Linked DNA regions of Struthio camelus. The protein of the gene in region 2 purifies or fractionates together with the protein of the main gene of each other region. This does not show direct contact. Links are inferred from orthologs where the notes say so. Each region holds a gene or a part of one and is shown on either strand. Other genes may lie near its edges. The genes, in order: RPA2, ETAA1 and ATR.

Region 1 (10,839 bases), on a different chromosome or scaffold from region 2:
TCCAGGAAGGGAAGTTACATGAGACAAAGAAAAAAAAAAAAGTCTATTCCCAAATTTTGTCCAATATGCAAAGAGAACAAGATAGTCCTCAAACTCATGCACAGAACAGCACATACTACTGAGGTGCTGTAATACTCCCAGGTACGTGTAACTTTGTTTTGAAAATGAGTGATGCGTTTTATCACCACTTCATCTGACAATGGTTCAGTCTAACCTGTTCCACCGAAAGACTTTAAAAGCTCAGGCTCACTACCACCTCCTACTGGAAATGTCTGAAATTACTAGAGTGGTTTAACAAGTAAACATCTTGCCCACTATTTCCCTCCCTCCCTTTATCAGACTCTACAAAGGACAGCCTGAATTACCGGTATATCTGGATATACCAAGATATCTGTTTCTATATACTTACTTGATTGTTGCCATACTGATATTGTGGAGCTGAAATTTTAGCTCTTGAAGACTCATACCTTCTGCAACAGGGCAGTTCTTAATCAAGTTCAGCACCTGGAAGAACAAGAATCTAGGGATAGCATTCGCAGTTTATTCATGAGTACAGCAGACTATGCTCTATTTTCCAATGTTACTTCTCCTCCTCTCCTTCTCTCCCCTATGTTCACAGTACCATGAGTACCTCTACATCTTCATTCCATTAGTTTGCAAAATGTTAGCTGCAGTTACTGCGAAGACTTAAACTCCTTTTACAGGGACAGCAAAATCCCAGTTACGACTTTCTGGTCTTCAGTAGGTCTAGCACCACACAACCACCATTAGTAGACAACTAAACTTCTCTATCGTCAATGGACAGCTACAGAAAGCTCCAGGAAGAGCTATCGGTCTTCAGAGAATGCCTGAACTTTCATTTCTTTGTCCTATATCGCATCCTAGCGGTGACCACTGTGACTGCTGTGTTCCAGAAGTAGCTTGTTGTTTGCACCTACCTGACTCTGATGCGCTGTAAGTCCGTTCACTGGCAGGCTGCCACCTCCTCTGTAGCTCCCCACATCACCTATCCCAGCAGAGGAAAGGGACTGAGGCATTCTTGATGCTGACTAAAAGAGTAAAAGGGCTACGGTTACATGGACTGCCCTCAAGCCTGAGGGATGAAAGACTGAATGTTATTTCAGATATGCAGTAATTAAAAATAGATTCCCAAAGAAACAATTGGAAATTGACTGTAGCACAATTTCCCTCCAAGGAAGCCGAGATTCCTGTCATACCTTCACTGTAGCCCTCCAGCAATTTAAAGCTCTTCAGCGTCACAACTTAAATACACTTTCCCCAGTGAAAGAAGAGGTCCATCTCTTTGGAAAATAACCAACAGCCCCCCCCATTCAGTGTGTAAGGGTTAAGATCTCCACGTACATACCATAAGATTTTTTCTGAGGATCATATGTGCATTGACAATTTCTAGTATGTGTGTGGTGAATTCATTCATATTTTCCAGAGGCATGATCTTAAAAGCCACCAAGCTCTTCTTATTCTTTCAAAGAAGCAAAAAGAAAAAAAATTAAATCACAGCCAACAGCCACACGCCCAATCCAATCATTATTTCTAGGAACAAGGATAGTAGTGGGTAGGGGGGTTGTCTGCTGTCACTGTAACTAGTGCCCAGGTCTTTGGACTACTTTTCATATGCAGCTCTGAAATACAGTATAGATAAGTAACTTCTCACAAGATGGGATAAGAATTTAGAATGATGGCTCCTGGCTTTTGACCCTATGAAAAGCCATGTTCTGATGCTTTTAAGAGTTGTGCTAAAAAACTACCTTTCTCAATAATGAAGTAATGAATTTGAAGGAGATTAATTCACAAAGACAAAGGGACAACCCTTAAAACAAAAATATATATATTTATATATATATATATATATATATATATATATATATATATATGTGTGATTTTCTAACTGGCTAGTAACTAACTGCACTTTGCTTTAATGCACACATCACTATTTAAACAGTGACTATTATGATGTAACTGTATGACATTATTACCCTTTATAAAGTGTCCCCTAGTGACCAGAATAAAATCTAAGCTCTACAGTACAAACATTCAAGAATGTGGTGGCCAGTACTGTTCAGCAGAAAACAATGTACGGATGAACAATGAAATTTTAAATGGATCTTCTGTCCTTTGCACTTAGGAACAGCATTGCCAAAAACATTCAAGGAAAGGCTGACTAAAGATCATGATTAACTGCATATTCTACAAAGACCCTAACACTTTACAAGATCAGTAATCCTTCAAGCCACTGCTCCAACCTCATTACTTGAGGAGTCATACATAAATAACATGATTTTACCTGGAAAGACCGAAGATGACCAGCTACTTTTACGTAAGTTCCTGGAGGTACTACAACATTCTCACCACCTGCCTCCTAACAGAAAGGAAAAGGGGAAAAAACAAGGTTTTCCTGATTCACATTTCCATTTATCCACTATCACAATAAGTGATTTGAGAAAAGAGGCTTATCTCAAGCAAACACAAAAGCCATACATTCCTACATCCAATACGAACAGTTAGTGTAAGTGAAAAATGGAAAAACTAAGTGAAAGGGGAAAAAAAATTCTTCTTGTTTGAATACACTGCATATCTGAGAGCAGCTGAAGCCACTTGTATTACAGCGCTCCGATGTCTTTGTCCGCTTCTGGGGGATCTTCAAAAAGCAACAAGAGGGAAAAAGCCCTGAAGTAGTAAAAAGGAAGTGTTCAGCTATAAAACTTGGGTTACGGTTATGGAAACAGTCACAGAATCCTCTTCTAATTTATGATAAACTTGTCGTTAAGCCGACTGAACATTTGCTTAATTACTCTTTCAAAGTTGTTCGTCTGAACTCAGCTGTTTGCCTTCAAATATGTTTTAATAACAGGGTCCAGCTTTAAAAGCTTGTTATATCAGCATGAGAATCCAGTGGAAAACTACCATCACTTCAGGAGTCATGCATCAGCAATGATGATACTCACCGGTATTATCAGTCACTGAGCCATATACAAAAATCTCTGTTCAGATACTTTCTGTCCTTGTGTTTCTACACAAAGGTATTGAGGACTCATCTCTCACAGAATCACAGAATTGTTTAGGTTGGAAGGGAAATTGGTTGGAAGGGACCTCTGGAGATCATCTAGTCCAACCTCCCTGCCCCAGCAGGGTCACCTAGAGCATATTGCCCAGGATCACATCCAGACGGGTTTTGAATAGCTCCAGCGAAGGAGACTCCACTACCTCTCTGGGCAACCTGTTCCAATGCTCTGTCACCCTCACAGTGAAGAAGTTTTTCCTCAGGTTCAGATGGAACTTCCTGTGGTTCAGTTTCTGCCCATTGCCTCTTGTAAATGCCTCTCAATTCATTTATGAAGCAACGTTCAAGCTTCAGCCTTTAAATACCTCAAAAATTGTTCAGCATGCTTCAATGTAGAAGCGTAGAATTATAAAGCAGGAGGAGACTCATATACAACACTGGTGACCTCTGCTACTGCAACATTTTCCTCAGCTTTTCGAGTTACATTATTCCCAAAACATTTTCCAAACCAGTCACGTTATTTTTTCAAGAAAACGTTAAGTTCATAACAAAGAGAGGGGTAATAAACACAAACATAACACACACAGAGAATTTGATGGGGTGTTTATCACAAAGAATTACTGAAAATGACTAAGAAAACCTAAATTTTGAGTTTTTCTTCCACGCAACAAGGACCAAGCTAAAGTTAGATTCTTGTTCTTCCATTCTTTGCTTACAACTTAAATCTTTTCCATCTTTTCCATCTTTCCTACCCAACTGGTGTTACAAGAATCATCCAAAAGCTCATTCTCTCCGCTGTACTCCCCACTGGTGCTTACGTCAGTATCAACCCACTGTCTGACATCCATCGGGGCCGCTGTCATATCGTCTACTTTGTAGAGAATGTTTGTCGGTGCTTTCTCCGCATGCCGGATTATCCCCATGATAGTGACCTGCATTGGAAGAAGGAAAACGTTACAGTGGGGGACTGGCACGGGAAAGCTGTTGCCACTCGCAACGCTCCCACTCGGGGTTTGGCAGCTCTGCCCAGTGGCCACCCTGGGCGCTTACTTGAGATATCTCCACGTCGCGGATCCTGAAGGTTTCATCGACCTGCTCAGCAGCCAGCAGTTGTGACACAGTACAGGGCACGATGTTCTGGGAGCGGGCTCTCTGCAAGGGGATGCCGAGGGGCCGTCAGCTCCGCGGGCCGAGCGCCTGGCCCTCGCCCCGCAGGGGGCGGGCGGAGCGCCGCGGCCCAGCGCCCCGGGGCCCGGCGAGGCCCCGCTCCAGGCCTACCTGCTTCTTCTCAGCCTGGGTGCCTGCGGGGGAGCCAAAGCCTCCCGGGGACTGCATGTAGCCGCCTGCGGGCCCCGGGCCTCCCACGTTGCTGTAGCCGGTGTCGAAGGTACCTGAGGAGAGGGAGGGAGAGACCCTGAGGCGGCGGCAGAGACGCGCTACCCGCCGCCGCCGCCGCCGCCACCGGGCGCAGCAGCCCCGGCTCCTCCCTCGCCGGCAGCACAGCCCGCCGCGCGCTGGCCCTGGGCACCGGCTCCTGCGCGGCGGCTGCGCGGCAGCTCCCCGGCAGCCCCGGGCCGCCCCCACCGCCCCGGGCCCGCACCCTGTCCGCTCCACATTGCGGCGGCGCCAGGCCTAACGGCAGGCGCGAGACGGACCCGCGTAGTCCCCCCGCGCGCCGCCGGCAGCTGCCCAATCCGCGGGCCCGATAATCCGGCCGGTCAGCCAATCGCAATCGCCTTTCTTCTGGCTCCTTCCAGTGGGGGGAAGCGGCGGGGAGGCTGACAGCGCCATTTTGAGTGCTGGCGCAGCCCGACCGCCGCCGAGGTGAGCAGGGCCCGGGGCGGGGCGGGGCCGAGCGGCCCGGCGGGGAGGAAAGGGGAGGGGCAGGGAGGGGCGGGGCCGCGCGGCGCAGCGGGGCGGGGAGGGAAGGGGAGGGGCGGGGCCGCGCGGCGGGGCGGGGCGGGGCGGGGCCGCGGCCGCGGCCGGAGCAGGGGTAGGAGCGAACCTGGCCAACATGAAGCGTTTCGCGCTCCTGCTGCTCTGCCCGCTCTGCGCGGCCCTCGCAGGTAACAGGGGGCGGTGGCGGGCGGCTGGCGGCTGTCGGGCGCTCGCTCGCTCGCTCGCTCGCTCGCTCGCCCGCCCGCCCCGCTAAGTCGCGGCGTCTCTCCCGGCGGCGGCAGGGCGCTTCTGGCACATCACAGACCTGCACTGGGACCCCGGCTACGACGCGGCGGCGGAGCCCTCGCAGGTGTGCCCCTCGGGCGGCTCCCGGGCCGTGCCGGCCGCCGGGCCCTGGGGCAGCTACCTCTGCGACTCCCCTTGGCGCCTGCTCAACTCCTCCATCTTCGCCATGAGGGGCATCCTGCGCCAGCCCGACTTCATCCTTTGGACCGGGTGAGGAGCCAGGCCGGGCGCGGAGGGGGCGGCCGCGGCCCCGCCACCGGCTGAGCTCGGAACTTGGCCCCGGGCAGGCAGCGGCCGCCCCGCCCGGCGGAGGAGGCTGCGCGGGGCTCGGCGGAGCGTGTCCTCTGCCGCCCCCTCAAGGGTCGGGCCGCTTCACCGGCCCGTCCCTCAGAAAAAAGCGGGTATAGGATAGGCTTTGAAGCTGTACTTCAGCTTTACGTGTAAAAATGAGGAAATCCCAGCTCTTCTAGGCTCGTGTTTTCCATCATTTTGCTGAAGCTCTAGGAGGTGAATACCCATGTTTGCATTTTTAGGAATCTTCTTGTGACAAGGGGGGGGGGAAGCCCAAATAATCCAAAAATTGGTAGTACTGGTTCTGTGTTTACTCACGCTTTCAGTTTATGACATGATCCTGCGTGCTTTGGGCATTGCCAGTGTTTGGCTGAGAGCTGTTATTAGAGAATGGGGAGCCAGAGGACTTGGAGGTGAAGAGTTCACGGTAGATTCAGGGTTCTTAAGGTAACCATTTTGGAGAGGTGAGATTTGGATACGCCTTAAAGTACAAAATGGAGTCTGCTAGTGGAGCTGTACGGAGCTGAGGGCACAGCGAGGCTGTTAGGAGTGGGAGGCCATGCTTTGAACGAGCCCCAGCAATGAGGGATTCTCTGAAAAACTCCAGGTAAGATGAGGGAAGGTGTTAGAATTCACCATCCTTTCTTCTTCTCCAATTGTTGCCAGCCTAGTCTCACTTCACACAAATTTTGAATACCTGAAAATGCTTGGGGGAATGGAACGTATTCATTTTGTTGGTGTACAAAGTCCTGCCTTGTTAGAGGCACCACGAGAAGGGCTTGCAGCATTTCTTCAAACTACACAGAGGAACCTGGAAGACTTACCTCAAAAAGGAGCTAATTTTCTTTACAACTATGAAGAGCCTCCCCAAATGGAGCTTTTTTTGTAGTATGGTGTCCAGAAGTGGCCACCTTACAGGAGGCCCTAATAGCACTTGCAAACAGTGAAAGACTTGTTTGGCATGATTTCTGTAAGTTCATACATCCCTCTGTAATGTTTCCTGCTTCTTCTAACAGCACAGTGTTCGCTATGAGCTTTTGTAACTCCCAATCCTGATCTGCAGCGCTGTTGACTAACCCACTGTTTCCACTTTATATATTTGTGCAGATGATCATTCCTACTTAGAAATAGTTGTTGGTCTTTAAAACTTCTGTCTTGTTTTACATTTTCTCAAACTATTTATCCTCGTTCTTCAAAATCTTCCTGTATTTTAGTCTTATCTTTCAATGGGCTTATAATCCTTACCAGCTGATATTGTCTACATATGCTAAAAGCATATTAGTGAAAACATTGAAATGTGTATCTGCTAGGTTTTTAGAGGTAGATCTCAATGGTCATTGGCTTACTGGAGGCATCCGTTTGTACTCAAGAGAGCAGCAGGATAACAACTCTTCCATTGAAAATAAAACAAAGAGTTTTGTTTTACCACTGCTGACCAAATTTACTACCAGACTGTGAAACGCTGTTCCTCACAAGATCGCCAGTCATCTGTAGCATCTGTTAAATACACTGAGGTAGAATAAGGCTCAATTTCTTATGCTTGTGTATAGGTTTTTCAAGGTAGACTAAAGCAGAGCAGGTTTTTACTGTGAGCAGTTCCTTGAAACTCTCTTAGTGCCCTTGCCAGTCAACGTAGTGCTGATTCGTGCCCCATAATGTTTTTTTGTTTGTTATTTTTTTGTTTGTTCATTTGTTTTCTCCAGAGATGATACTCCTCATGTCCCCAATGAGCAGCTTGGAGAAAAACAGGTTCTGCACATAATTGAAAATCTGACTTCTCTGATAAAACAGATATTTCCAGGTAGGATCTGAGAGAATGAATAGGGGAGAGGAGTACAAAGTCTCATGGGAAGAACTTACCATTCTGGAGAAATGATATAATTAAGAAGGGGAAAGGCACTGAAATGCTGTGGGCATTAGGACTACTTTGTCTTCTTCCTAGTTGCTGTACAGGCTGTTTGATTGAGGCATGTCTAACACACCCTTGCTATTTCAGATTAATTCACTCAGAAGAGTGGAAAAGAAACATTTCTATAACTACTCATTAAGAAAAACGAAGCTACAAAATTTATTCTCGCTTAGTGGGAGAAGAAGTATTACTGACAAGGAAATCTCACTGACTCCATCTGTAAAAACATAGCAGTCTTGCTCTGGGGTGGCTTCCCTGAGGACACATGGTCTTGCAGTATTGTATCCCCAGTCCGTGCAACCACAGGAGTTTAGTGTGGATGATAACCTTTTATGAAGCTCTCCAGCCATGCTATTCTTTTTGAGTCTGTAAGCTCTCTAGAGAGCTTTGGTGCTGAAGAACTCTGGAGCAAGCTTGGATTCCTCTGTGCTTCCTTTTCTCTTTCTCTAGAAACTAAAGTCTACGCTGTGATGGGCAATCATGACTTCCACCCCAAGAATCAGTTTCCAGGGGAGGAGCACAGGATCTACAACCAAACAGCTGAACTGTGGCGCTCCTGGCTGAACGATACTTCCATTCCTCTGTTCAGAGCAGGTGTGGCACCACTAGCCCGTGTCAGCAGTGTCCTGGGAAGATAGGGTGGTTGGGAAAGTCACCATGAACGTGCTGTCTCTGCTTTTATTCCCCAAGCCGCAGTGCTTGTAGAGGAAGGGTCCAATTTAAGATTGATTCCTAGCACTGAGTTTTCCTGCATGTGGGAAAAGGACTTTCTTTATGCTTTAGTCTCTCCGTGCTTTCCTAGAGTTTTAGGAAAGTGTCCCTGCAGAGGATGGTGAGCTTCAGTGAAAATAAAAAAGATCTTTCAAGAAAGCCACAACAGTAGCTATCTATAGCTTCCCAGCTCCTGGACTGTCCTGCACATACTCTTAAAACCCAGGGTCTCTCTTCACCTTGAGTGGCATATGCGGGACAAGAAGACACAGGGAAGAGTCACACCAAATCCATATCCTGGATTGGTCAGAGCTGCTGGTTACTCTGGAACCAGTCAGAGCTGCTGGCACCTTGTCTAGATAGTGACTCTGCTGTGACTATTGCCAAGGAGAGCTGAGAGAGGTAAAAGCCCGGGGATTTGGGGACACAATTGGCTGTGTGGCCAGAATTCCAGCTCTTTCTCCTGCTGGTTGCATTTTACAGCTGCTTTCTACAGTGAGAAGCTGCCCAGCCCAAATACAAGTGGGCGAATGATTGTCCTCAATACCAATCTGTACTATGACCAGAATAACCAGACGGCTGGTGAGGAAGATCCTGGAGGGCAGTTCCGGTGGTTGGAAGAAACATTGACCAACGCCTCAAAAGCAGAAGAAATGGTATTTAAAAAAAAAAAAAAAAAGCCCACACAACAACAAAAGCCCCCATGCCTTTGTAGAGGGCTTCTCCCAGCCTGGAAGGTCCTTTCACTCCTGATCTCTCTTGTGTGCCAAGGACCAGCAAGCCAGTGCTCTCTTTGGGAAGCATGGGATCTACATTCAGCGCAGCTCTTTGCTCTTGTAGGTTTACATTGCTGGGCACATCCCTCCTGGCTTCTTCGAGAAGAAAAGAAGCAAGCCCTGGTTCCGGAGTAACTTTAATGAACGATACCTGAAAATAGTGCAGAGGCACCACAGAGTGATTGCTGCCCAGTTTTTTGGACACCACCACACTGACAGCTTTCGGATGTTTTACAGTGATACAGGTATCAAATCTGGCTACCCAAGTATTTGCATGATAGCTCTGTTCAGTCCCCAAAAAATCATTGTTGAAGAGGGTTTTCGGTGACTGCAGCCAACAAGTCAGAAAAGGCTCATTTACGTCTTGCTTTCTAAAACGTCTTGTAAAATGCTTTGGTCAACAAGACACAACAGTGGATGGGATTCCCCACCCAGACCTGTAGCTCCAGCTGTCCTTCCTGCTTCCCCTCTCATTTGTTGTTTCCTCTCACAGTGCCTTGCTGCTCGTCCTGCTCCATACTGATGGTTTCTGGACCTTAGCTGAGACCTAAGGGAGCAACTGTAGGTCTTCACAATGGCTCTTTGGGTCTCGTTCACTGAGGGTGGTTCTCTTGCTCACCCTCACTGTAGAGTCTTCCACTCATGCCAAGCTGCAGAAGGCCTGCTTTTAGCTGGAAATGTCACGTATTCAATCTCAGTGTGTTGAATAGCATCAGATCTTTCTGCGTGCATTATTGTAACTGGATCTGGTGAGCAATGGGTGCAAGGTGCTCAGTGGTCAGGATGCTCGTTGTCTGCTCCAAGCCAGACCTCTCTGACTCATGGTTTCTTTTGTCTTTCTATTAAGGTTCTCCAATCAATGTCATGTTCTTAGCCCCTGGAGTGACTCCTTGGAAAACAACGTTACCTGGAGTGGCCAATGGAGCCAACAACCCTGGGATCCGGGTGATTGATTACGATCCAGACACCCTTCAAGTAAAGGTAGGGGACACCATCATGCTTTGTACTGCAGTCTCAGTTGGGTGCTTTAATTCTCCCACCTCTTTTTAACAAGCAGGACTACAGGGAGCCAAGAGGCTATGTAGCAGAGGATGTAAAACAAGGTATTTCAGTCTTGTGGCTAGCACAAAGTTTTAAAGAGTGTCAGTGAGTAAGGGCAATGACACTACATTCGACTGGCTCAGGCCTCCTGCTGGGATGAGTCCCATGGCAATGCAAGAGAGTTCAGACTTGTTTGTTCTTCATATCTTCAATTAATCTCCTTTTACGCTTGCTTTACAGCCCAGGTAACGTGGATTCCAGAACTGTCTTTGGGGACTAACAGGCTTGCTGAACACCCTTCAAAAACTCTAGCTGTCTAGAAAATTATTTGGGTCCCACCTATGTTCTGAATTAATTCATTTTGTAATAGGATCAGAAGTTAGTTGAATTGTAGGGAAGACGAAGACTTCCATTTCCTTTGTCTTTCATTTGCAAAAAGGTGGAGGATGGTGTTCTTGTACCTTTCTTTGCAAGGGATAAAGCACCTCTGCAGATACTGTATTTGCATGTTTGCAGCATAAGAAATGCATGCTTGTCTGTCCTAAAATATACTGCGCAAAGCTAGAGAGCTAGTGAAGCAAGGCAGAGAGAAAAAGAGCAAACAGAAAAAAAACAGAAAAGGTTTGCAAACAGAAGGTTTTTTAGAACTTTTTTGTTTAACTTTGTTCACGTTTGAGTAAATAACTGCTCAACCCTGTAACACTTCTCCAGCTGCTCCTCCTGCCAGAGGACAATGTTGATAATGAATACCAGAGTGAATTTTTTTGGAGCAGATCAGGCTCAAAATTTCTGATGTTTCAAAATACAAGCAGAGGAAAAGCAGAGAAAAGTCAACCTTTCAACACTTATACAATAGTAAAATGGGCTAAAATTGCTTTTATAGTGAGTGCTGAATGCTCTCACTTGAG
Region 2 (9,843 bases):
CATGTCTCAGAAGTAACATGTTGCATGTTTTTAATTGGCTCAGGAAGGTGTTCTTCCTCCAAGGTGCTTTTGTTTTCCTGGAAACTGTTATTTAAAGAAATACCTGACAGTCCTTGGCTCAGCTGTCCACTACATTTCTGGGTAGAGCAATCAAAAAGGGCATGAAGGGCTATTTCAGCCTCCAGGTCTACAGACTTCTGACTACTAGGTTGACAGGGCTCTGCAGCAGGAACCCCAGTGCTCTCTCCCACTGGTTTCAGGGACAGAGTACTATCTGTTTCAGAAACTTCATCAAGGACCGATTTCTGGTTCTTCATCTGTACTTCATCTTTACAATTACTTAAAGTCTCTGAGGCAGTCTGGACGAAGTCCTGACAAAGCTTCTCTTGTTCCTGAACAGCATCCAACTCTACCAGATTTTTATCAAATTCCTTAGCCAATTTCATGAGTTCGTCTTCAGGATTTTTTATTTTAAGATCTCTAGATTAAAAACAAACAAACAAAAAAATATATATATATAAAAGAAAATCAGATCTATTGAGAAAAATTTGTCAAGTTCAATTACACTATCCTATCAGCTGTTTATTCTGTAATTTAGCAACTACAGAGAGTATGAATGAATCCTGTTTTCAGTGCACAATCAGCATGCATTCCTTTTGCCAATTCCCAGTGATAGCTACTCTGTTAACAAGAGAGATAACAACCCAAAAGTTAAAAGCATTCTGTATGCTAATGTACAATTACTCACTATACATAAACATAATGAAATAATACATCTGTTTTCCTGAAAGTCTAGCTGTGATAGGCAAGACAAAATTGGAACTTACCTTGTACAGCTTAACTTTGTTCTAGCTCGCAGTTTTACTACCCCAGGTGTACAGGGAATGGCATCCTCACCAATCCATGTCTCTAAAAGGGATCCTCCACTGCAGGCTGCTTTTTCATCCTAAATGATTAGATTTATAATGCTTAGCAATTTGATTGCAGATAAAGATTGAACTAGACATACACCTTGCATTCGTTTAAGTCACTAAAACAATTAAACTGGAACAAGTGTGCTCAAAGCCACAGATAGGAGCTAAACCAATACAAGCCAAGCAAGATTATTGCAACAGCGTCTACTGATAGTTTTATCAGTTTAATTATATCAATTTAAAGCAGCAACTTCAATTAAAATAATTGAATTCTATTTTGCCACTCTAATCTAATACTATATTTACTTCCCCAATCAGGTTAACACATCATTTGCAATTTTCACTTTGCAAGCTATATTTTAGTTTACTTTAGTAAGTAGCTACTTGAGATACATTGTCTTTCTCCACCTACAGCAGCATTAACAGACTAGAGAATTTCAGAAAATCATATTCTGTTTGCTTCCTGTTAAAAATTTTGATTTCTTCCATTACAACTCTTTCATACAAAGAGCCTCTAAACAAAAAAAAAAATTAAGTAAAAAACTGAATGAGGTCGTTTCAGAGCTTCAAAGTTCAGGCTTGGATCTGAATTTTCAAATCTAAGAGATACAGTACTGTAGTAGTAAAATGAGAAGTGGGCCAGAGCCACATATTGAACATTAAGAAACACTCCAAGTAGTCAGCAAAAAATAATTTGAACTTTATCAGGGTGGCTTGGGGCGAGGGGGGATGTCAAATTTTTTTTTTTTTAAGGAAGAAAAAGAAGGATGTGAGCAACAGATTGCCCCAAACGAAGTCCAATTTCTAAATAACTCACAATCATGACAGCATTGTAATCATTAAACAGAGAGGAATTGGCATCCCTTATCAATGATTTTGAAATTCTAAAGTATAATTTCTCACAAATATTCTAAATAGTGAAGACAGTTTAAATGGCCCTGTCAATCAAGCAGGCATATTTTGCATGCCAGATACTACAAAACTGTCTTTGTAGAAATGACAGTTCTCTTCTTGCACTTAATAAAAAGCAAACAATAAGCCCACTACTGTAAGGGCATCTTTCACTTTCCAGGCTGTGGACATCAGTTCCCCAGCTGGGAAGACATCAAGAGCATGTACGAGGGTAAAAAAGGCAAACTGATTGGAATTACAGCAACAGTATTACGTCTGTATCATTGTGGAGTCTTTCACCTCAGTGTTGTCCTTGCAGTTCTGCAGTGTGTATTTCAAGATCATTCAGAATGCTTAAAATAACTGTCAAGTAAATACAGTACGTGAAGAAACCATACCTTTTAACAGACCAGTGATTAAGGGTGACTATACCAGAACTGTTTTCCTAAGAACAGGGACAGTAACTTGCATTCTGAAAGTAAAACTTCCTAAAATGGAGATGCCACAAGTCTGCTTTTCTTAATGCATCCTCTTTTTTAATAGCATCTGTGACTCAAGAACAGCCAGTCAAATACTATGGCTGTGATTTTAATTCAGTTCTCTTTTATGAGCACGTTACTACTTTTCTGCACACTTGCTTCTTTCCATGCTAGACTACTGTAGCTAAAATTACATCTTCACCAACACTGAGTAGCGTAACAAAATTTTGCTCGATTATTGCCTATAGAGAGCAGTGTTTTAGAAAGTCATAGTTACCTGAGGAGCAATACGATTAACAATTTCTGAAATTTCTACTGCGCATCTACTGGCAGTCTGTTTCTTTTTTTCATTGCCTAAAAAACAAAACCTTTTTTAAAAATGGCAAAACATTACTACAAAACTCCCTGTGTCTCAAATAATTCAGTTACACCTGGTAAAATCAGAAGTTGATTGAGCGCTATATTGAAGAATTTATGGGATCACAATAAAAAAAAACCACAATCAAACAATCTGATCACCTCTGAACACCCCAACTCCACCATTGCCATGGTGATAACAGGAAGGGGGCTTTTTTTGGATAATTCAGATTTGAAAACTTTTAGTATACTGCAACATATACGTCAAATGGGCAACCTGAAGTATGAATTTTGTTGGTATTACCTAGTCTGCATGCAATTGGTGAATTAGGATCCCAAAAGATTTCTTGCTCTTTATCAGCATCATTAACAGGAGAGCTGAAAGTAGGTATCCGTGATTTCCTATTCAGTGATCTCTTTGGCGTCTTATGTGAACATGACTCTGTGCAAACAGAAAGATGATGCTTATTAAACATTAACACATAAAAGATTGAAATAACTCAGAACATACAACAGGGTAAGACACAAAAAACATGGTGTGTAAGCCTTAAGAATGAAAAGTTCACACTGAGGGTCTGAGTTCACACTCATGAGGGTTCCTTTAATTAAAACACCAGTGGTTTTCACAACTATTAACCCAGAATGCAACTCTACCTTTGCCGGCTGCGCTCCACCAGAGAGGTAGCGGAGCGCTACAGGATGCCGACAGATGCTCGCTTAGCCTCTAAAGGCCAGGACGAGAACCGTCTATCCTCTTAGGCCCAGGAATGGCGACTTCAGCTTACTTCAAGGGAAAGACCCAGCACAGCTGTGCAAGAGGACACTTTGCGCCCCACCTTGCATAGGTCTGTCACCTAGACTCAGATTTGGGTCACAACTTCCATGGCACCTCCAAACTGTCCTGGGTCGCATCCTGCCTTCGTACCAGCATGTATCTCCCCCCTCCCCCAGCCGCCGCCGCCCCAGGCCTCTTCAGGCATAAAGGTTGAAAACCGGGACAGAGGCAGTCGCAAACAGCTCCGTGCGGTCCCGGAGCGGCAGCGAGCGGCACACGTTAGGTGACGCTCAGCCCGCCACAGCCGCCGCTCAGGAAGCGGCGCTGGCGGAGGCAGCGGGGCGGCTGCGGTCTGCGCCCGCCGGCCCCTCCCGGCGCGGGGCCAGAGCGGCGCCCGCCGCCGTCACGGGCGCTGGCGCCGGCGAGGCGGGCTGGGCTGGGCTGGGCTGGGCTGCCCCCGGCCCCACAGCCGCCCCCGGCCCAGCCGCTCCCGCCGTACCTGCCGCGCCGCCGCCCGCCGCCTCCCCCGCGGGGGGGTCCTCCGGCCGCCGCCGGCTGAGCTTCTCCTCGCCGCCGCCGCGCCTCCTCAGGGCGGCGGGCACCTTGCGCCGGCTACTGGGCATGGCGCGCGCCCCGGCAGCGCCCCATACCACCCCTGCCGCAGCTTTCTCGCGGCGCCGCCATCTTGCCCGGGAGCCCGCCACGCCGCCGCCGATTGGCCGGCGCCGCGCCGCCTCGAGCGGCCATTGGCCCCCAGCGGCGGAGGCGGGCGGGCGGACGCGGTAGGGAACTGCCGGCCGCGTTTGGCGGGCCCGCCTCCTGTTCGGAGTAGTGTGGCAGCGGCCTGCGCTGCGCTGGGCTGGGCTGGGCTGGGCTGCCCGCCGCGGGGGGAGGCGTGAGCTGCCCCGCAGGCTGCTTCCTGACTGGAAAGGAAGGGGCAGGCGGAGCGTGGAGGGCAGCGCTGCAGCGGCTCCTAGGTCCCTGCTTGCCCCCCTGCCCTGGGTGGTGCCATTAGTGGTTTGGTGGGGGTCATTAGTTTGTAATACAACATTTAAAAGCTGTTGCGTTGCCCAGGTGCGGGAGTGGCTTGCACGGACCCTTTATGCCATAGGTGAATGTAGATTACATGCCCTGTGTTTACAGATAACAAGGATACTGAGAGGAATCTGTGTCTATTTACAGTAGTAGTAGATACAACTCGCAAGATAACAAAACATACTAAATTTTAACAGACTTACTAGAAAGTGTTACTAAAGTCCTTGCTGTCTCCTGCCATTTCCTAGTGGCCACTTAGCAGCTGGGTATTGTAAAGCGGTCTCCTTTCGTACTCCCGTATGTTTACAAGTATATTCCAAAATACTGTCATAAATAATTAAAATTGACACCTGTCACATTCAATGAGTGCTGTGAATTTTGCAGAGCTGTCTCTTTGATTTCTGCTTTTCTTCCAGCTCATTGTTCACTAACCTCATTCATAAAATGTGAGTATTCGCCACAGGTCTTTCACACATTAGTGAGCTCTTAACGGTAAAAGAATTTTGAAAAAGAATATTTCTAATGTGTATCTAGTTCTGCATGAGAGATCTTGTTACATCAGCTTCAGCATATACAAAGTTGTATTAACAAAACTAGGCAAAAAAAAAATATATCTGCACATACAGAAAAACCAAACAGCTCCACGATGAAAAAACTCCCATTTCCTAATGAAGAAAAGTATGTGTATCTCATTGCAGCTTAAGAACTTAGCCTTGAGCTGATGCTGTTTCTTAAGTTAAGAAAAGTAGTGGTGGAAGTCTGTGATGTTGAAGGGTTTCTCTGTGGAGCTGTAGCCTCAAGGAGGAGGAAGTTTGTGCTCCCTTGCCATGGCGCTGGCAGCTGGATCAGTGGCTAGCTGTGGTGAGGCTCCGTTCCAGGGACTTGTTGCAAACTCTTCGTGCTGTGGTTCTGAGTCCTGCTTTCAAATCAAGAGGGATGAGTAATGGAGGAGAGTGACTGAATAATAAAGTTAGTTTTAGATTTAATAGTACTATAAACTGCCTGGGAACTTTTTACTGCATTTTATGAGACAAGGACCTAAAATGAAACGAAATAAATGTGGAAGATCTGAGAAATTTCCTAACAAATATCCAATAGTGTAATGAGAACATAGAAAATATTCATGAAAAAGTGTTCCTCTCTAAAATCCTTTGAGAACAGAACTTGAAAGAGCACATTTTTATTTTGGAGGGAGTGTGTATCGTTAGTGGGGTTTTTCAAAGTATCTAACACATTACATCAATTTAATTAACAAAGAGAAGTGACTTTATGTTATAGTTCATCTTTCATACTTACTAGGGCTAGAAGGAAAGGAAAATCAATGATAGCGATTTCATTGAAAATGTGAAGATTTGTGAGGGGACAGAAACTGTTATAAATAATGAGTTTAATTTGAAAAACACTATCTTTTTCCAGAAAGTTTCTAAATGTCTGTGATATTTTCAGAGTTGACTATCTTATTATTTTTTGTTTCCAAATTACAGTTTCATTTCAAAAGTGATTTTTTGTTAAATGCTGAAAAAGAAGTAAAAAACTCACACACATCCACTCATACCTTGCCTCAAATGAAAATGTGCAGATGTATTTTGAACATCTGATACTAGGTGAAAAGAAAAATTCTCCAAGTCTAGTATTTCTTGGATAGCTTATTTCAAAAAATGGTTTGGGTACAAACTCTGCAAGTCAGTACAGTTATAGGGTTCTTTAAACATGTCACTGTTATTTCCTACGGAAGGAACTGTTAAATAAAGAGTTTATGTAGTTGAGTAGCCATGTGTACTGTGTACCTAAGGAAATTTGATAAATGGATCACCTTCTCATCATCTCCCCTTCTCTTCCTCTAAAGCTAGAGTTCTGGCAAGGCAGAAATCAAGGAAAGCCATGGGCTTTTGGGATCTGTAAAATCCTGTTTGTTTCTTTGATTGCCTACAAAGGCAAATGTCTACAAAAGCAAAATATATACATGTTTATAGCACTACTGCATTCAGTCCATATATACATGTTTATAGCACTACTGCATTCAGTCCATATATACATGTTTATAGCACTACTGCATTCAGCCTGTAGTTCTGTAGGAGCCCTCAAGAGATTTCAGTGGTCCTGAGAGCAAGAGTCTGTGGCCATGCTTCATTGCGTGGGGGAGACTGCCCTCAGTTGTTCTATTCTTCTGCAGGGTATGACTCGGAGATCCTCGCAGATGGGCACAGGAGCATTGGATGAGGTAGCTTATGCACCTGAAATCTTCTAACCAGCTTTGCTCATCAGAGCTGGCCCAGACGTTGCTGCGCAACGCTGCCTCATGCTGTGTAGATGTGTCCTGGTAGTCTGGCTCCACATCTCTCAAAAGGAGATAATAGTTCTTCTGAAGCGTAGATTATCTGGGGAATAACCACAGCGCCACCGGATGTGAGGGGAGCTGTATAAACAGAGAAGTGAATTTAGATGCTTAACATAAGACACATTTATAAATACAACCCTGTGGACCAAAACAAAAATGAACTAGGACACCTGTGTAAAACTCAATATGAGAGTAGAATACTGTAGCCACAGTTTTTAGCCTTTTGGGTTTTTTTTTTGCAGAAATCCTTCTCATCCATATATCCTCTTCAGAACCCCTGGAGTGCTTACTAAATTATGGCAGTACATGATAACAGGTAGTTTATACAAGTTAACTGCAGGAGATATATGTGTTGTATTGCCTTCACTGGGACTGCAGGAAAAACGGTGAGGGTACCTGAAATGTTGACTTAATGGACAATAATTTTTCCATCCATAGGGAAACACAGGCATCGTTCATGTATTTTTGCTTTTATTAATAGCATTTTGATAGTCTAGTTATAAAGTTTACCCTTGACTTGCCTTGAAATATCATACTGAGTTCACTTATTACAGAATGTTACTTTAATTTTCCAAGGTGAAATGTTCACAGTGCAGAAACTGATGAGGAAAATACGGCCCAAACAGTTACGTATACCTTTATTTTTTAAATGCTGTCTGGAAGGGTTTGCAACACTCTCTGCTGAGCCATAAATTGACCTAGACAGTAAATGATACATGACCTTAAAAATATCCAAAGTATCCTTGCTTGAGAATTTTTAGTACAGAGTTATTAAATGTCACGGTAATTTACAGAAGTGTAGCCTGGTTTATACTTCTGCATTCTCTCTCTCTGTCTTCTCACCACCATGCCATCCAAGAACCTTAGAAGCTTTAAAAATTTTTACATGTATCTCATTTTTTTCCTTTTTTTAAATCATAGAGTATCATTTTATTATATTTATCACACTCTGAAAATCAAGTCAAATGGAAAACTATAATTTAGCTCACAAAGGCCTGATCCAGCAGAGCACTTAAATACCTGCATAACTTCCTCATGATGACATTTTCCATTGCTCGTTAACTGGCATTTAAAGGAAATTTTCCATTGCTTGGTGTCTGGACATTTAAGGGAAATTATCAACCAAAATGGGTCAGCTGTTTAGAAGAATTAGGTCAGGCAATGAACATGCTACAAGTTGCAGAGGTCTGTAGTGAGCCCTACACCTCCACTCCCTCACAGAAAGCAGGAGATAGCTCCTGGGCCGGCCTTCTTTTAGGTATGTATTATAACGTAGGCTTAATTCCACAGCTGTCTTTGTTTTCCAGCGCTCAGGGTGAACTGCATTCAAGAGGTGAATCCCAGTTGTGTAAGACTGCAGTGTTTGTAGGATTTCTGCTTTAAATCTTAGCTGGGCTGGTTAGCGTGAGCGCACTGCTGCATGGAGGCAGCTCCCTGGCATCTTAGTCTGGAACAGGTACGATGGCCTGGGCGCTTGCGCACTGTGCTGGCTTGCACTCGGGAGACTTGCCCTAAGATCAGGAGGAGTCTTGAAGCAGCCATTCCTCATTGCATACCCCTTTGCACAGCGGCTGCATCCAGCCCTGCTGCCAAGGAGCTTTTCGCTGTTTTTTCTCTCATGTCCACGATATCGTTGCTCACTGTACCAAGGGAGACATGCATCTTGGGTGATCCTGCCAGCTCAGACGCACCCTCTGCTACCTCACTGTTTATACATGGAGAAAAGATACAAATGAGGATAGGATGAGAAACAGCTCTTAAAAATTACGGCAGCCACGTTCTCTTTTCTTTTCTTTTCTTTTTTTTTTTTTAATATGTCGATTCTGCTGTATTACAGCTCCGGGCTATCAAGGAGTGAGAAATAGGTTTTCTTTTCTGCTCTCTTAATTTCTGGAATTTTTTTTATCCCTTGTAAGAAAACAAGTTATAAGATTCTTTAAAGAACAGGAAGGAATAGGTTTCCATCTTGTTTGAAAGTCTGACAAATACTAATCATATATCCTATCATATATAATATATCCTGTAGATGATTTCTTTCATCAGTGACAAAAACTGACCTGCATTTGAAGATCGAGACTTGCTAAAACTCTCACACGCTACAGTGTAAATTAGTAAAGCATTTTGTCAGCTACCAAAAACAAAGCAGTCGATGGTCAGTGAAGACAGCTTTTTGATCAGGCATTCTGGAGAAGGCAAATAGGCACTGATTATTTATTTAAAGTAGGCTTAGCTTTTGACTGATACATATGTTCCAGGAGAATGTTTAGCCTATGGTGCTAAATAGCTTACTGAAGAATCAGTGATCAAACTAGTATGAAATTCTCCAAGTGCAGTCATTCTCTGTTTTTCTCCAACGTACTCAGCGGTTTCTGGATGGACTGTTTTTATGTCAACTGTTCATAGCTTGCAGTTGAAAAAACAGTTTCTGTACCAGAGTGATTTTTTTGGGAGGCTTTCATTTTTTAAATTCTATACATTATCCCTTGAGTCTGCATCCCATTAGCTATAAGCCACAGTTTACATGGAAATGCATAACAATGAAGTCTCTCTGTTCCATATGCGTGTGTGACTCCCATTACGCTCCCATTATACATACTGCTGCTGGTTTTAATGTGGGGGCGACTGGAGGTTGTTCTCCCCTGGCAGCAGTTTCGTCATGTATGCATAATGATTTAAGGCCCCAGTCCAGTACCTGACGCCCACATTACAGGACCACTGCCCTGTGTGAACTGACTGGTTGCTTCAGGGAAAGACCAAGCTTGGAGTGGATATGAAGGTTTGGCCCCAAATTGTGGTGCCCTAGTTTCAGGAATGAAGCAGGAGGAATGCTGTATTTCTGATGCCTCCCTTGTTCTATGGTGAGACCTTTTTTTTCTCCAGGACAGTTGGTTCTGGCAGCTTCCTCAAGCAGTACTGAATTTTGGACCCAGGGTTTGTTCCAGTTTTACGTGTCCTGGCCTGATGGTCCTAATTCACAGAGCGAGCAAACGAGTGCCTGGATAAGAATTAGACACTCTTTGGATTATTAATTTTTTCATTTATTTTCAGATGGCT
Region 3 (10,336 bases), on a different chromosome or scaffold from region 2:
AGTTCTTAAAAAACAAACAAACAAAAAAACCCTTCCACTTAATGGTCTTAATTACATGATGAAAGCTTTTATAAGTAATGACATTTCCTGAGTTTCTATCAGGGATAATTGCTAATGCCGGTTCTTTCATTCAGCTTGTTCAGCTGTCTGCTGGGATTATTGAATTAGTTTCTCCATTCCTGCCACTGTTCCTGGCTACTGAAGCCATCAAGGTAGACCCAAGTTCAAGAGACATTAGATGGATACAGATGTGGGTGTATGGAGTAGAAGACTCAGCACACCAACACCTCGTTGTTTAATCTTAAACCTTTATGTCTCCCTGCCCCCAACAAATATGACCAAAAGCACATGGTTAGAAAGAGCAACTCAGATGAAGTGAAATTATTTAAGCTCCCCTTGTTTGAGCCAGTTTTACTGCGACATCCTTATTCTATACTATGATTACAGACAGCGCGATAGTGCCCGCATAGCCTCTCGCTACTTTAGCGCATCTGAAAAATAGGGTCCAGACACACCCAGCTTATCAAAGAGCTATAACCTGTAAAATCACGTGAAACAGCTGAGAGTATCAATCCAGTTGTCTAACAAAAACAATAATTCCTAGAATTTCTTCTTTCCACAGATGTAGGTTTTTGTGCATTACCCGTTCTCATGATAAAAAGAGTTTTTAAAATTAACCTACCTCTTGTTCTTCCTGAGTACCAAGTGCATTCACGAAAATTTTGCATATGGTACCGATATGGACGTTTCTTACTTGCAAGGCAGATTCATAGCCAACTGGAACAAACTCCAGAAAATATTGCAATATATGGCAAAAAGCAGCTTTTAGCTTTTCAGACTGAAGACACCTGAACACATCACCTTCAAACAACGCACAGAGCTTCTCGAGTAGCATATTCAAGTAGACAGGTTCGATATTTCTGTAAGAATCTGCTTCAAATGGCAACAACGTCCTCACCAAGAGTAAGAGCGGTTCTTCAAAGAGTCCTGTTTCTTCAGCATCCATTTCAAGTATTGACTGCAGAATTCCAAAAAAGACTCTGAAGAAAACACTGGCCAGCTGTTCTGGAGGTCCTCCCAAATGAATTAATTTTATTAAAAATTTCATTGCCAAAGCTTTAACTTTTGGACTACCATACTCCAACAAGGAGCAACCTATCCCCCACAGAATAATATCTTGTCTTACAAAAAACACATCTGCAGCAATGTCTGTCAGAACAGACATTAATATAACTTCCAAACTTTCTACATTGGGCATGCCCATCAGCTGCAACGGTGCCAATCTTAAGTATCCAACATTGTCACTTGAATTGCTTAAAAATCTCTTTACAGCCACTGGCCAGACCAGCATATCTCCCCAGAGATGCTTCTGTGTGTCTCTTTCATGCAGGAAAATTAAATCTTGGAAAAGCTGTAGCAAGTCTTTTGTTAGTACTTCAAAAATGGAACAACTCTTCATTTTAAATAGTAGCAGTAAAGAGCAGATGACATCACAGATGTTCTTGTGCAACGTACAGCAATTTGGAGTTGCAGCAATTCGGAGAAGCCTTGTTATGATCCAATTACTAAATTCTAGGAAAATAAAAAAGAAAGAGCACACGTAAAAGAATTTTTAAGATAAAAACAAAAGCTCATATTAAGGCCACCTTCTTGGGAAAAAAACAAGCTGCTCATCACTAAAACCATAAATCTCCTTGCGATAAAGGCATCTAGGCTTGATAAACAGAATGCCTTCACAGAGACAGGAAACCTCTTTGAAGAAGAGGGAAAGTGGGGGAAAAAAAGGGCACAACAACAACAACAAAAAGATTTCAGGCTAAGTATCATTTCATCTACATTTTCCGCATATTTAAAAAAGACTTAGGAAATGACTATGGGTTCAGGATGACTATGGGTTCCTTTCCAACAGGAACTGGACAGTATCTTAATGACTACACAACAGTAATGAATAAGGTCAGACTCTGTCCTGGTATATATCTCGACAAGTTTCCATTATCACAAGTGCAAATCAATTTACAGTTATAAAAGGATATCGTAAGATTAACTTATAAACATGAAGTGCTGAACTTGCAAGAGAACAAAAACGGGGAAAAGGGAGATTTGCATGATCCACGGGCAGAAAATTTAAATCACGTAAATACCAAATTTCAACATAAAATTTTTCAACCAACTCACCAATGCAACTGCATTCAGTTTCCTCCTGATTTCCATCCATGTTTACAAACATAAGAGGGGAAGATTTCATGATATGTTGAATAAAATCAAGCAGCATTACAGAACTTGGCTGTGAATCAGATTTCTTAATAAGCTCCAAAGCAACTGAAAAAAGAAAGGCAGATTTCTGAATTAGTACCATGACACAGCAACTTCACAGATTTTGTTCATACTTAACAGGGAAAGAAGAAAATTATTACATAAAATATTATTATGTGGTATTAAATCTGTAGAGTTATCAGTTAGGAGTGCTTTATAAATTTGCAAAGCACAAGATTTTTAATGTTGTGAGCATATATACTCATACGCCTCTGCACTTCACATAGTTACTTCTTCTAACAGTTATACATTTGACTCACATTACTTCATATCACATCAGCAAAGACTTTATCGTATAGATTATTTTAAGTAAGTCATAATAGTCATTCAGCTATTAAATTTTTGTTGAAATTGTAACTCATATATAACTTATTTTTAGCAGGAATTACATAAAGGAAAAAACAACAACAACCCAAAACAGATGATCATTTTAAAAGCAAGAGGTGCAATGCTTACCAACATCTACATCTGTAAGAATTCTGTCAATGAACTGGCAGAGTATTTGCCTCGGTTTCTGCACAACGGAATTGTATTCTTCTGGATTAGCACTAAAATTAAAAATACAAAATAACTATTTAAAGTGTATCTCAGCAACACAGTGTTAAACACTGAAAGTGGTACTTTTTACTTCTAGAAGACTTCAAAGAGAAATACAAATTGATTCCCCTTTTCAGTGACCAATATATTGTCTGCTTCTCTTTTTCCTCATTTTTCAAAAGAATGAAGTTTTATGATGTGCTGAAGATCATTAAATTTTTGGCTATGCAGTTATGCTTGATATATATTAAATCTATCTCCGACTCATTAAGGGATTTATACACACTACTCCAAAGCAACAGAACAGTTTTGGTACAGAAAAATAAAATTAGGAACCTATTTTAATTTTAGAGTTGCCAAAATTATTCAGCTGACTAGCTGTCAGTACGCAAGGTAAGAGGTATCGACTGCAGCAGCTCTGACAACTAAGATACCAGCTGACGCTGCCAGGTCAAATCTTCAGCATACACTTGTATCTCCACAGCCATTAGTTGCCTACCACAATCACAGCTACAGTTTTTTAGCTTTGCAGATTGCTGCCATTACCACTTTAGAGCCAAACATTGATCTCTGTATAGATGGCCCTGATACAGGCCCCAATTGTGAAAAGCTTGTATGCCAGTTTAGTGTTTGCAGCTTTAATGAACTGAGCTGGACAAGAGCAATTTTTGATGTGTGAGGGCATGTGTAGCAAATAACTGTAGTCTCAGGGTTAAGTAGGTTCACTTCCCCTGATGCAATGAAGATCGCAGCTAGGATAGGGACACTTGCAAAGCACAGTTTGGATTGCTTCAGTGAAGGCTGCAGACTGGATTGCAGCAGGCTTACAGAAAACTCAGACATCCACCTATTTAAGTAGGCTATCTTTCCTGTAACCTGAACGACAACAAACCAAGATGTTCTCTGTACACATGTTTAACCAACCAGCCACAAAAGGTCAAGAACACCTTTGATCAGGGCATTACCTCAAGAAGCAAGGGATCCAAGTTCCAACTCTGCCACAATCTCCCCCCTCCCTGACATAAAGATGGAGTCCGTTTTGGCATCTGCACAACCGGTGCTCATGCTACTCTTTTGCTTTATGTGGTTGTTATAAAGCACTCAACTACTGCACTAAAGGGAATGTAAGACATTCAGGTACTGCAGAAAGGAGTTTTCCATAGCTTAAAAAAAAATGAAGGAACAAATGGAACAAAGAAGGCTGTTCCAGTCATGCCATCATCCCGAGGGACCTTCTGGAGTGCATGCCTCAAACACGGACGTTTAACATCTCACTTTCAACTCTTCTAACTGAGCAGCAGCGAATGACGATTACAATTTACAACTTCCAGATGCAGTTCTGACTAGAGGAGCTTTAAACTAGTAAGGCGTCTAATCGAGTAGCGCAAAGCACGCTAGAGAGGACTAACAGATGCTTTAAGGTCTTTCAATTCTCAGCGAAACCCCGCTGGAAGCACAACAGAACAGCCCTCCCCAGGAGGCCGGGCGCTACGCCCGGGCAGCCCAACGGGGCCCACCCGCCCGGCTGCACCCCGGGCTGAGGGGTCGGGTCGGGGCAGGCCCGGCCCCGCGAGGCCTCCCTCGGCGGTGGGGAAAGAACCTACTTTCTCCACTTCCCCACAGCCACCCGCTCCCCCCAAGCCCTCCCGCCTAGGAGGGGCCGGCGGACGCGGCTGCGGGGCCGGGCGCGCCCTACCTGGCCAGCTCCCGCAGGGCCGGGATCATGGAGGCCATCTCCAGGCCCTGCTCGGCCATGGCTCCCGCTTTGAAACGCGCGGCGCGGCGCGGCGGCGGCACCCGGCGGACGGCGGCCGGTAGGGCTCAGAACACCGCCGTTCTCGTGCGGGCCGGTTCTCTGCCCGCTGCCCCTCCTCCCTCGCGCGGCTGAAATTTTAACCGCTTCGTCACCAGCAGAAAGCCCCGCGGGGGGGGGTGGGGGGGGGAAGGGGGTCAGGTCAGGTTTTTAGCGGCCTCTCAGGGGAGGGCAGCAGGGCGCTCCTCGCCGTCGCAGCGCTCAAAGTGGTAAAAACAGAAAGGGGGCAAGCGTACAGCGGGGGGGGGGGGGGGAGGAATACCGCCAGCCATGAGTGGAGCCTGTCACAGGGGCGCTGAGGAGGGAACCTCGGTGCCCCTCGGGCGGAGGCCCCGCCGCCAACGGCCGCCTGCCCCGCCCGCCCGCACCCGCGGCTGCTAATTCCGCCAACGGCGAGACTGTTTTATCGGGTCACGGGAAACGGCGCCGCCGCAGCCCGCCCCGGCGTTGGCCCTGGGCGCTGCCGCCCCGCCCCGCCCCGGCGGCGGCAGGTGGCGGCGGGGACGCGGCAGCAGGAGCAGCAGGTAGGGAGCGGCTGCCGGTGCCGGTACCGGTGCCTGGCCCGGGGTTTGGGGCCCGGCGCCGGGCCTGGGGGGTGGGACGGGACGGGACGAGGCGGGAGGGAGGGCGCAGCCTGGCCGTGCGGGGTCTTGGCGCCCGCCGGCTCTGTGCCGCTCCGCGTAGCTAGCAGCAGGAAGGATATTTAAAATATAGTGGTTATTTTTTATTTGTCAGTGTGCGTTACTTTCCGTTCGTGTTCTTTTGAGGGGACAAAGGTATTTGAACGCATAAATGCTTTAAAGAAAAACCCTAAAAGCGTTGTGCAATGTACTTAAAGTAGCCTGCTTTCTTACGCTACAGGAAAAATTAAATGCGTGCTTTAGTAGCAGTCCTGGGATGTAATGGTGATTGTCACTGTATGGCCCATACGTGGGAGCCCTGCCCACGCAGCAAGTCTGTGAGACCTCGGAACGTGAGAGGATACAAAAAGCGTTCTTGTGTGTAGATACTAGTAGCAGGAAGAGTACTTAAGGGCAAATTGAAGTCTGAGCTTTGCTTTTCTGATTCAGAAGCATAATACTTTCTGCATTTGTTTCTGAACTGCTTAGCATTGTTTCTGGGCTGAAATAAAATCCTCTCAGAGGCTTGTAATTCTGTTGCCTGTTTCCACTGCACTGTGCCTATATCTTTTGCATGTAAAACAGCCCAGGAAATGAAGTGGATGCATCTGTGTGTTGCTGTTACTGATTCATTGCAGGTGCATGCTTTTAGGGAACCTATTGCTAATTAACTTTTTCAGCTACACCTGGTTATTTTCATCCTACAAAATACCTGTATACGGTTTCATACAAAGTTTTGCTGATCTTTCAAAGATCAAAGAGTACCCTGGTTGCTAACATAGGAAGGAATGAGAATGTTTCAAGAAACGTTGCAAAAAATAATTGAGTTTCATCTTAAATTTTTCAACGCTTCTTGCAATTTTCTCTACCAGCTGACTGTAAAATATTGGCCTTTTGAGATTCATTCCCAGGAGCGAAAACGGTTTACACGTTTTCTTAAGTAGAATTTCAATGATACAGGAAGACAAGGTACGTCTGGGTTTTGTTGTCAATTTTATTTTGAACAGAGAAGTTTCTACACAATTTAAATAAAAATATATACTTCTTGTTAGAACAACAATCTGAGTGTAAACTGCCAATTCTGAGACAGCAATCACTGCATAGAAAGTGTAAATTGCACTACTTGCTAATTTGAAGTAGAATGGAAGTCTCGGTGTCATCCCTGATAAACTTGGGATCCCAACAGATATTTAGCTATCTTTCCTAAGAAGATTTGGAGTAGAATACATACATATTCTTCAGCTTTTAATCCTAAGAAATACAATAAATTTATTGAAGCATAGAGAGATGTTTTTTTGTTTATAAAGAATAAATGGGGCAGACAAAGTGCTTGACAACAACAAATAAGTACTTTTGCCTGGAAGTCTCCCAATTCAACAGTGAGCTCATGCTAATATAGCTATTGCAGAAACACTTTCATTTGGCATAGGTAGAATTCTATAGAAATTTATGTTGCAGTTACTTCAAACGTGTAATTCAGGCTTTTTTGTAGTAAATACTCCCAGCAATTCACTAAAGAGGTGTCTCCTGCTCCCTACCCCTCAGTGGTAGTGAGGCCAGGAGCCTCTGTTCTCTCCCAGTGACAAAGCCTCATGTGCTGCCTTCTGACCATATCATCATGTTCTTCCTGTTACCTTGGTCTTAACAGGACTCTCTAGTGCCCCTAATGACAACTGCATTGTCCCAGGTTCACAGTGTTTGTGCTGTGAAGATAAACGATGTCTTCTCGATGCTCACCTTAAAATATTTTTATGGGCACTCACAAAACCAAAAACACCTAGCTTTGCCCCTTGCTTTTCTTGAACACACAATAAGAAGCTCAGTAAAATTTCAATTCACCTCCGTCTTGTTTCTCCCTCATCTCATTATTTTATACTTTATATGTCTCTGTGTCCTCAGTAGGAGGGGGAGATGTATTATCATCCATCTGGAGAGCGTGCCTCATGACTAAAGAAATTAGTGTGCCTTGAGACTGTTTTGTATCTTCTTTTCCAGTGCAGATCCATATTGGTGAAATAGGTGTGCAGAACTCCCAGCTTACAAAACTCAGGAAAATTCATGCAGGGAGTTAGAGCTAGGTATCAAATGCAGTGTGTACAGTAGTGTCAAGATATCTGCTAAAAATTTCTTCCCCTCCCTCCCCCCCCCCCGCCAACTTGAACAGTCCTCTCACTTCTTGCATGATTCTCCCACACCTAGGCCTGCATCTTCTTTGGCATTGGTTGTTTTTTTTTTTTTCCACGTACCTTCCCAGGGCACTCACTTAAGTTTCATACTCACACTGAGTAACACAGAGTGACTTTGCTTTGGGCCAGCAGGTCCTACACACAAAGGCATGTTGATTCTGCTTTTATTCATTCTGTTGCAATTTAATTCAAAGATAGAGGTGAACGTACTGTTCTTCTTGGGGCTCATCCACTGCGTGGATGTGTGAGAGATGGTGCCTGTTAATAAGACTGCAGTTAAATCTCAGCTGTCCCTTGTCAGTAGACACAAGTGATTTACGATGACCTAAAGGCACCTGTGTATTTCTTGATGTCTTCATGAACCGTGAAATACAAACATTGTACAGGCTGATACGGTGGTCAGAGGAAGTTCAGCCAAGATGGTGCAGTGAGCTCCTCTGAACTGTACTAAGTGGTTTTATGTAATATCAAGGTGTGCTTATGGTTTTTCACTTGCATGGTTGCTGTAATAATACCCAATGGTCTGTATGATTACTTGAAAACTTATTTCCATATATAGTCATGAAAGTGCTTGTCAGAGTAGTTGACTGACCTTTGAACGTGTTGAATTGTTCCTGTACACCATAAAAACGTATATTCCGGAAGGCTATGTTTTTGTCTATGCCTGTGTCGCCTAGTCAACTTGGCTAGAGGGAAGAGGCACAAGTCAAAATAATATTCAGTCCGGAATATTGGTTTGATGATTTTAAAAAAAAAAAAAAAAAAAAAAAAAGAATAGTGAAAAGTTGAAATAGTAAATGTCAGTAAGGGCCATTCACCAGCTGGCATCCTGAAAGCAGGAATATATAAATTCAACCACTAGGCAAAAACTGACAGGTGAAAGAGGGGACAAAAGTGAGGAAAGAAAGAAAATATATAAAACTGTTTTTTAACACCCCCTTTCACTCTATGTTATCCACATAGGTCCTAGTCTTGCAAACACTTATCCACATATTTTTAATATGAATAATCCTGCTTACGTACTTAAGACTATTCATGAAGTAAAATTAAACATTTGAGTAATTCAGAGAGATAGTGTGTTAGATTATATGTTCTTTGGGAACCTGGCATTATTATTTGTATAGTAGCAGCCACTGTTTTTTGCTTATGCACAGACGCTACTGATAAAAAGTAGTTGCCTGTATATATATCTCTGTTATTTATGGTTTTTGCTTTCTAGTAGAAGAATATTACTCTTCAGGTTAGCAGCTTTGGAGTAAACTCATAGGAATTTATTTATTACCGGGACTAGTGTTACAAAGTCAAGACTTTCCTGAGTTGATAATTCTGGAATAAAACTAAGATGCTTGGAATCTACTTCCTTAAGGCAAAACTTTCAAAATTTTAAATGCTGATTAAAAAAAGTATTCCATAACTAGGGAATGTGATTGACAATAATGACTCCTTGGGAAAAATGTTTGCGTGGTTTCATAGGCTCACGCAAAACTCTGTGCTAGTCATGGCAGGAGAAAACTGTGCAGTGTTTTAATTTAAAATGTCATTTAAACTAAATTTGTTTGAAAGTTCTAGCTGTTTTAATTACAAAGGTTCTTCTTTTTATTAAGAACAAATTCTTAAAATCCGAATAACTGTGCTAGCTATTTTCATAGTAAAAATTTGTTGTTTTCCTATAAAGCTTTCATGAGAGGAGAAATAATTTTCTATCTGATTCTATGTTTCACACTGCTCAAGACTAGAATAGAGTTTAGGCTTGGTAATATTGATAAAAGATGTCCAGGCTATTGCTAAATGCGAGAGTTCTCTAATTTTCTTTCCGTGGCTCACTGTAGAAACCGATGAAATGGAAGGAGAAAGGGTAGTCACAGGTTTTTGTCCTTCTATTGCCTTTGTTAGAAGCCAAATAAATTAAGCCAATGTATGCATGTTGTAGCATTATTTTCCCAGTAGGGTATGGTTTTTTTTGTGTGTGTTTTCCCAGTATTTAAGACTTCTACTACTCCAAGGGATTTGTATCAATGGGATGGATATCACCTTTGCAGCACATGATAGGAAAATGTCTAAACTAAAAAGGTTGTACCCATATCCTTATCCTTTAATGCTCATATAAAGTCTAAGTCTGTGACGTTAGTGGCCTCCCTAGCGCTAGCTAATTAAAGAAAATATTTTCGTAGAGTTCACCGGGACATGTGAAAAGCTTCACACCCTCGATAATTGTTGATAATAATTAAAAATCCAAAAGTAACTACGTCTAAATAAGTGGATTAAATAAATGTAGACCAGGAATACCAACGAGTAAAAGGAATCTGATCCAAGCAAACAGGATTATTACTGTAGCAGGCTGTGTACTGTGCCTGATGATAAGGAAGCAATAAATTGCAAATTAGTGCTGGGAAGATACCTAGCTAAGCAAGTGCCATGACTTTCGAATCTAAAAATCAGTTTTGAAGATTTTTTTCCTGTAGGATGTCATATCTCTGTATCGCTATTTCGTTTCAACCTAGACATTCACTGAGCAAACAGTTGACCAATGGTCATGTTATGGTATGCAAAGGGATATTAACAATAAAAACAACAGCTAGCATTAGCCAGATCAAGTTAAGTATGAATCAGGAGTTCTTAAGTTACTGATATAAACAGCTCTGCCATACAGTCATGTCATGCCACGCCACTTTATTAAGGGATTTTTAAGCATCACTGTTGCTACACATGTTTAAACGAGGACTGCAAAATGAAGTAAGAAGGGTGGCTTCTCTGTTCTCCAGTATATTATGTTTGTGGTAGAATTACATGATTCCAGCTTTGACTGAACTGGTCCCATTCAGTAAATACTAGATGCCAGTCATGACGTTATTATTTGTCTTATTTGT

The links.
Region 1: the proteins of ETAA1 (region 2) and RPA2 purify together in Homo sapiens (affinity purification with western blotting; 4 studies listed by BioGRID, with this or other methods). This does not show direct contact. The link is inferred for Struthio camelus from reciprocal best matches to the Homo sapiens genes ETAA1 and RPA2.
Region 3: the proteins of ETAA1 (region 2) and ATR purify together in Homo sapiens (affinity purification with western blotting; 3 studies listed by BioGRID, with this or other methods). This does not show direct contact. The link is inferred for Struthio camelus from reciprocal best matches to the Homo sapiens genes ETAA1 and ATR.

Annotation. Positions count from the first base shown.
Region 1 is NC_090964.1:2,834,955-2,845,793, reverse strand, and holds the start of RPA2 (replication protein A 32 kDa subunit), read right to left. Parts: upstream 4,905-10,839; 5' UTR 4,636-4,904; coding exon 4,620-4,635; intron 4,411-4,619; coding exon 4,298-4,410; intron 4,172-4,297; coding exon 4,070-4,171; intron 3,952-4,069; coding exon 3,838-3,951; intron 2,378-3,837; coding exon 2,303-2,377; intron 1,481-2,302; coding exon 1,367-1,480; intron 1,050-1,366; coding exon 939-1,049; intron 505-938; coding exon 410-504; intron 1-409. Other genes in the region: SMPDL3B (acid sphingomyelinase-like phosphodiesterase 3b), read left to right, coding at 5,034-5,085, 5,200-5,413, 7,198-7,295, 7,854-7,997, 8,598-8,770, 8,955-9,135, 9,738-9,871. UniProt on the Homo sapiens protein: As part of the heterotrimeric replication protein A complex (RPA/RP-A), binds and stabilizes single-stranded DNA intermediates that form during DNA replication or upon DNA stress.
Region 2 is NC_090944.1:142,320,702-142,330,544, reverse strand, and holds the start of ETAA1 (ewing's tumor-associated antigen 1), read right to left. Parts: upstream 4,121-9,843; 5' UTR 4,040-4,120; coding exon 3,916-4,039; intron 3,084-3,915; coding exon 2,946-3,083; intron 2,639-2,945; coding exon 2,562-2,638; intron 947-2,561; coding exon 828-946; intron 481-827; coding exon 1-480. UniProt on the Homo sapiens protein: Replication stress response protein that accumulates at DNA damage sites and promotes replication fork progression and integrity.
Region 3 is NC_090950.1:15,506,769-15,517,104, forward strand, and holds the start of ATR (serine/threonine-protein kinase ATR), read right to left. Parts: upstream 4,719-10,336; 5' UTR 4,606-4,718; coding exon 4,547-4,605; intron 2,862-4,546; coding exon 2,770-2,861; intron 2,320-2,769; coding exon 2,176-2,319; intron 1,573-2,175; coding exon 683-1,572; intron 1-682. UniProt on the Homo sapiens protein: Serine/threonine protein kinase which activates checkpoint signaling upon genotoxic stresses such as ionizing radiation (IR), ultraviolet light (UV), or DNA replication stalling, thereby acting as a DNA damage sensor.